Linked DNA regions of Xenopus tropicalis. The protein of the gene in region 1 purifies or fractionates together with the protein of each later gene. This does not show direct contact. Links are inferred from orthologs where the notes say so. Each region holds a gene or a part of one and is shown on either strand. Other genes may lie near its edges.

Region 1 (3,656 bases):
ACCAGTTATATGGTCAGGTCCAAGTGCTGCACTGCTGGCTAGAAAGCTGTGGTGGAGAATGTGCTATGAGCCAGTTTCCTCACAGTCTATTATTTGTTTATTGGGAATTTACCTGTTCACTTGCAACATGTGGTTAATTAAAATAACACTGATCCTTTTTATAAGTTTAAACCACCCAGACTGGCTTATGTTCCTGTCTTACCTGCAGCGTCAGCCTTACTTTATTCTTCATGCATGTCAGCTCCATACCTTAACCCAGTTCTGTTCTTTAACACTTTGTGCTTTTTTTCCAGGAAAGGAGAATCCACAGTATTCAAAGCCCACACCGGCACCGTACGAAGTGTAAGCTTCTCTGGGGATGGGCAGTCATTAGTTACTGCATCAGATGACAAGACTATAAAAGTATGGACTGTTCATAGGCAAAAATTTCTCTTTTCCCTGAATCAACACATCAACTGGGTGCGCTGTGCCAAGTATGTATCAAATGGTATTCCTTTCATTGTATTTGTTTTCTAGAATAAGTTTAATTTTAGGTTCAGCAGTGTGTCATTAAACTAAGCATGTATTAATAGATGTAATGGTGCCTCTACCATCCCACCAGAGTTATCTAAAGCTGGTTTATTTTTTTCTATTAGGTTTTCACCTGACGGAAGGCTTATAGTGTCTGCTAGCGATGACAAAACTATAAAATTATGGGACAAAACCAGCAGGGAGTGCATACATTCATTCTGTGAACATGGAGGGTAAGTAAATTCACAATAGATTTTGTATTTTAAGAGTGTTCTGTCGAAGGGCCCAATACATCAGCCTGTGTATGGCCACCTTTAGTCGACCAGTACATACCTCATGAGCCATGAGCACTAAGGTCAGCAACAGCATTCCCTGAATCCCACTGAAATGCTGGTGTTGGAGCTATTACTGCACCAGTGCTTCAGCACAGACTCTTGGATAAGCACCTTGAATAGAAACCTTTATCAAAATGGAATGAAAGCATTCTTATTCACACATTTACATTTAAATCTATTGATGGTAATGCTATTCACTTATACTTTTGTATTGCAGTTTTGTGAACTTTGTTGATTTCCACCCAAGTGGTACCTGCATAGCTGCAGCAGCAACAGACAACACAGTGAAGGTGTGGGATATCCGCATGAATAAACTGATCCAACATTACCAGGGTAATTAGCTTCTGTTAATATTACATGAACAACACATCAATTTAATGCCTATGTACTCATATCTGCACTCATGCCCTGCTGCAAGGTCTGTTTCTTGAATGGCATGAAGGTCAGTGGGACAAACACCCTATGGAGAGGGGCAAGTGCTCAGGCCTAAACAGAGGGTGACTGTTCTTTTCCTTAGCTTCTAGCAGCCACTGGGTACCATGCATGACAGTAGGCTTTTTTAAAGGGTAAGTGGAAAAACTTCTTTAATAGGAGCTTGCGCAAGTCTTTTAATCTTTGTCCCAGACACAAAAAAAAGGTTCATAGTTTTTGAAGGCATGCAGTATAGCTAAGTAGTTATGTCTATTTTGATGGTATCTTATAATTAATTATAAGAGTAAAGAGGAACCTAATGATTTTAGGTAAGGCTCTGCTCATTTGGCAAGGTCACTAAATGAGTGGATCTTTGCCTGATATGCCCAACTTGTGCTGGGCAAATGACCAGATCATAGTAGGTGCCTATGCAGGCCATGGGGAGAGGACTGCATGAATGAGTTGATGTGGTTCTCGCCCAATTTTTAAACCTATCCGATACATATCTGGCTGATTTTTGACCACATAGCTATCAGATAAGCTGCCGAAAAGGGCCCATACAAGGGCACATAAAGCTGCTAACTCGCTCTGAAAGGGCCAAATTGGCAGCCTAAATCTGCCCAAGTATGACCAGTTTAACTGTTTTTCTGTAACTTCATGCTTTGGGGAGTTCTTTATGTTTTATGCAACTGAATGGCAGAAGCAAACTAATCAGGGCCCACTAGTGGTGAAATTGTGATTTATGTTTTAAACAATAAAACAGGTATGGGATCTATTATTCAGAAAAACATTGTTTAAAAAGCTCTAAAAATATCTGAAGCCGTTTTTAAGCAAACATAGCCTGTAACTTAGTTTGTGGTTAATATCCAGATATATTTGCCAAGTTGCTTGTAAAGAAACCAGTAAAACTACAGGTTTTGGTGAAATATGCTCTGATAACTCCAAAAAAAAAATTAGAGAAAATGTATATATTTATGTAAAAATGTAATCTGGTTCTATAAAGACTGCGCTTTTTTTAATACTATAGATTCATTCAATCTATGATATTTCATTAAAATGTAACATATATATATATATTAGTACAACTCCAGATGGAAACCAAGAGATAAGATAATGGAATAGTATGAGACTATTGACACAGCCAAGTGCAGATAGTTCACAACGAGCAGCGCTGTATTTGATCACATAATCACTTCTTGTTTCTTCAAATGATTTCCGAGCAGTGAGCAAACAGGTCTTGGTGACTATTTACAAAGATTTCATAAAGTGAAAATGATAACCCAAGCAAATAAGATTTTATTTAAAGATCACATTTATTGTTCCAGTTCACAGTGGCGTAGTGAATTCTCTTTCATTTCATCCATCTGGCAATTACCTGATCACTGCTTCAAACGACTCCACTCTGAAAGTTCTTGATTTATTGGAAGGAAGATTACTTTACACCCTTCATGGACATCAGGTGAGAAGACAACAGCTGTCAGCCAGGGAAATAATGCTGCTTCTTCAGTGGTTAATGCCTCTTAAGGTGGCCATACACGTACCGGTATTATCATATGAAAAGAAGTTATTATTTGCCTTCTTCCACAGCAACTTTCCAGTTTTCAAATAGGGGGTCACTGGCTGGTTTTCTTTGAAGTGTAGCAGGAAATATAGTCCCGGGAGGAGTCTTTTATAAGAATTAATTTCAGAAACATCTCTGCCTTAAAATTGCCTCTACAAATTAAGTTATTCTGCCCATTGACCTGAAGAATGTGGTTAGAAAGAAACTATTTTAAACTTTTTCCCACCACCCAGGCCTTACCCAGTGCAAACATCTCTAGTGAAATTACAATTACGTCTGTAGGTGTCTCCAAATTTTACTGTTTTGTACATTTTTATATTGCCTTGTACGAAAAATGCTGTGTTTGATCCTAGGAGCACAAAATACTTTTTTGAGACTCATCACAATGAAGCCCACTGTGTGCTAAACATATATTTATATATCTCAATCTATAATTTTGTGAAACATTGGAATAAAAGAGGGACACTAATCGATCCCATCGCTGACAAGCCAAAAGGCCATAAATGCTTTACTGGTAATGACAGGAATAGTTAGGAGCAACAGGGATTCCACAGGAAACAAAAGTCAGCTCAGACAGGCTTGGAGGCTAGTTCCCAATGCCCTACAGCAGGTCTGGACTGGGATACAAAATAGGCCCTGGCATTTCAAGTACACAGAGGCCCAAACACCCCGACCAACCCTGATTAATAGTGACTGTCTATGGCAGGGGTCCCCAACCATGGTGCAATGGGCGCCTCTGATGCTGGCAGTTACACAGTGGTGTGCCGAAGATGCACATAAGTGATTTTCTGTGTGGTCTGCTCACTGGTCTGTGGAAAAATGTTCTTATTGTAAACCGG
Region 2 (3,656 bases), on another chromosome or scaffold:
TTTCTAATTTCTGTTATAATCAGTTTGTTAGAACAGTTTCTCCACAGGGGGCAAACCTACATTATGGTTTGTTGATAAATGTGGCAGCAGATTCTCAGCAACACAATAATGTTGTGAGAAAAGCTGTTGATAAACAGGCTGATGCGAGTTGCCTACTCCAAATTGAGCTGAAAGCCTGTTGGTCTATGTATGGGCCATAACCATGGCCGGCCTGTTGTCTATTGGGCAGACTAGAAAATCCAAGGACAGCATTGGGCTTTTAATTTGATTGTTGTCACTGTGGGACAGTTGAATGGATAAACCCAACTGACCAAGTGGTCAGTTTCAGCAAAGGGTTTCCAAAATTTGTTTTTTCTCTACTTACATGTTTCTTTCCCTTTAATGCAGAGATATACTGTGTGAATGTACAAATTATTTTTTTTTTTCTACAGCTCATCACCCAGGCCTTCAACCACCACAATAAACTAGCTTTAGCAGCTCAGAAACAGAAGGATGCTGATCGTCTGGAGAGAGAGGCTGTGAGGCAAGAACGGGAAGCCAAGAAAAAAGAAACGGAAGCTGGAGAGTCCAGAATCACAGAGCTCACTGATGAGGAAGCAGAGAGACTACAAAAAGAAATTGATAAGGTTAAACACTAGAAAATGAGAAGCCATCACTTATTATATTTCCAGCAGTGCAAATATTTTTAAACATTTTTTTTTTGATTTGCAGAACAAAGAGAAAGAGAAGGCAACTAGAGAGACAGAGGAGAAACCAGAGCCTGAGAAGGTAAGGTTATAAACAACAACAAATAACTGTTAGGAGAAACACTGATGTGCTCTTGGAAAAATATGATCAATGTAAAGTGATGTCTCAGCAATAGTGAAGGAGGAGAATAATAGGCTGTGATTGCTGGTTTTTGTATTCTGTAGGATGGAGAGGAAGAAAAGGAGGAGGAGGAAGAAGATGATGAGAAAGATAAAGGAAAGCTCAAACCAAATTCAGGAAATGGAGCCAACCTTCCTCATTACCGCTGGACACAAACCCTCTCTGAGGTTGATGTAAGTGTTTGTAAAGAATGTTGCTAAATATTTAGTCGCGTGTGATGTCCATAGAAAGAGCCTGGACAAAGGGAACTAAAAATTTTACCTCACAATTTTTTTTAGTTTGTTTTGTGGATTTTTATAGATAACTTTCCTACCATTTTAGCTCCAATACTTTATTCTTAAACAGCTGTCAGACACAGTGGTTTCAGACATGCTGTTTTCCAGACTGGTGTCCTAACATTAATCTATGTGCATATATATGCTAAAGACCACTGACACAGAGGAAATGACAGCAGTTACACCACTGACTGGGCAACCAGCTCAGTATTGCATGAGGAGAGGTTTTTTTATGCAAAATCTGCTCTTAGTATTGTTTGTTATTCCTGTACATCTGAGTTTTTGTTTAGATTTGTGGGGATGAATAATTGTTTTTGGTGTTTTTCCTAGTAAAAATGTGACAGATTTTTTTTTTTTTTACAAGGGGAGAGACTGAACTACCTACTGTGACCCTCCATAGATCTTAAAGGAGAAGGAAAGGCTAATAAAGAGTTAATCTCAAGCTGGGAGTGAGTTCTTAGCATTCTTGAGGGAGGGGGGAGCAAGAGAGAGGAGACAGCAGAAAGCTGTGTGTCTCTGGCACAGGAATTACCAACACAAGAAATCTTTTCACAGAGAAGTCAGTGCAGCGTTTCTGTGAGTGCTTATGGCTGTATTTACATAGACCTTTCTGATAAAGCTTACTTAGTTTTTACCTTTCTTTCTCCTTTAAAAGAGATACTGACAACAGAAATCTAACCATTTTTACATCTGTCTTAACATTGTCTTTGCATGTTTTTTTTACTTAAAAGTATTTGCTCGATGCGTTTACATTCCTGATCCCCTATGTTCCTCTATGAGGGGGCTGCCATATTTGTGCAGCAGTAGTCCTTTAGCATTAGAAACTGTTAAAGTAGAAGGAAAGGTAAAAACAAAGTAAGTTTTATCAGAAAGGTCTATGTAAATATGCCATAAGCACTTACAGTAATGCTGCAGTCCTCTATGAAAAGAGGCACAGGATTTCTTTTCTCCTATTTTGTACACGTTCTTAGGGTATCTGACTTCCTCTCTCAGAAAAATCCTTCATACCCAGGCCAGAGTCTGAGCAGTTCTCTCCCATAAGAATTCATAAAACCCACTCCCCCCACCCTTAAGAATGCGTAATCTAAACTATAACGGCTAAACTGCAAGCAGGAAGCTATGAAGATCAAGATAAAATGGCAGCTGCAATCTTAAGCAAACAGTGAAAACTTCTAGGGCTCTCTACTCGGGTATAGTAAAGCTTTCTGCAGAATAAATATAGCATTCCAAGTGGCACTAATGTGGTAAATCTATTGGTAGTAAAATGCTGAAATGACTGTCCCTTCTTAATCTGCCATTTAAAGCAGAAGGAAAGTCATGTTGGCAAAAGAGTCAGGTTTAGGAACTTCCAGTAACAATTACTTACAAAAGCAGCCCTATCAGTGAAAAACAATCAACATGACCTATAGGTAATATTTAATGTACATTAATATTTTGAAGAGCAGTTTTTTTAGTGTCAGTATCACTTTAATAAGAGATTACAGATCTGGCAATCATCCAGGTATATGTTTAAGCCAGGCAGAGTGTTCGCACTTTGGCATGCTCATTTCTGCTCATAGAAGCACCAATATTTGCAGTTCCATTAGTTTCCAAACAAACTGCATAATGATTAGTTCATATGTGGACCCCTATTTTGGTTTGGATGATCAAACCACAAAAATTAATGTGGAAGAAGAACTGATTAATTATATGTTACTAAATATGTTGTTATATGCCAAACCATACAACTTATTGGGCCAACAACTGTGGTGAGCGATTGGACCAACCAACATACAGGATGTTCAGTTGGATCAGAGCAACATGGTCATCTGTGTGGGTGAAACAACCAACTAGTCAACCTATGGTAACTGTTGGATATCTTGTTATTTGGCCCATTAGAAATCAGCTTTATGTGAATTTGGATAAAGTTGTTGAATAGCCTTACATACTAGTAAAAAAGTAATTTTTGTATTGCTCCCTCCCTGGAGGTAAGGAGCTGACCTGAAAGTTGGTTCAGGGTTGTGTCTCACTGTAACTGGATTTGGTTGGGTCTAATTTAGAGGCTTTACGTGGCCGGGTCTCTTGTGCTTTACATGCTTTTATTACAGTGTTCATCTGGTTGCACGTGGAAGCTAGCATGTTCAGCAGCAGTTAAACAGCCAAAGGCTATTTATGCTATATCTTAATAGTTCTAAAAACACAGTTAAAGGAGAAGAAAAGGCTAATAAAGTGTTAATCTCAAGCTACAGACATACCTTCAGTTCTCTCAATAGTGCCCCTTAAGTCTCTCCATATTTTCCTGTTCAGATGATCTGAAGCGTCATAGTAAAAAGAAATGCTGAGCTCTGTAAACAAAATTCCCATAATGCCAAGTTCCTGCACCAAGACCAAGACCCATGTACATGTGCAGTGTGTAAGACTATGAGGAAGCTTCCTGCTGTATAGCTCAGATCACTAATTCCTAAGGGAGAGGGGAGCATAGACTCTGGCATAGGAAAAAAGGAGACAAGAAATCATGTGTTTCTTTTGATAGAG

The links. Proteins that work in one complex are often made in the same cells at the same time.
Region 2: the proteins of poc1a (region 1) and nudc purify together in Homo sapiens (co-immunoprecipitation; 3 studies listed by BioGRID and IntAct, with this or other methods). This does not show direct contact. The link is inferred for Xenopus tropicalis from reciprocal best matches to the Homo sapiens genes POC1A and NUDC.

The regions. Positions count from the first base shown.
Region 1 is NC_030680.2:128,806,321-128,809,976, reverse strand, and holds part of poc1a (POC1 centriolar protein homolog A), read left to right. Parts: intron 1-293; coding exon 294-473; intron 474-635; coding exon 636-743; intron 744-1,062; coding exon 1,063-1,178; intron 1,179-2,581; coding exon 2,582-2,715; intron 2,716-3,656.
Region 2 is NC_030678.2:77,789,302-77,792,957, forward strand, and holds part of nudc (nuclear migration protein nudC), read left to right. Parts: intron 1-431; coding exon 432-626; intron 627-711; coding exon 712-768; intron 769-911; coding exon 912-1,040; intron 1,041-3,656. UniProt on the Homo sapiens protein: Plays a role in neurogenesis and neuronal migration. Necessary for correct formation of mitotic spindles and chromosome separation during mitosis. Necessary for cytokinesis and cell proliferation.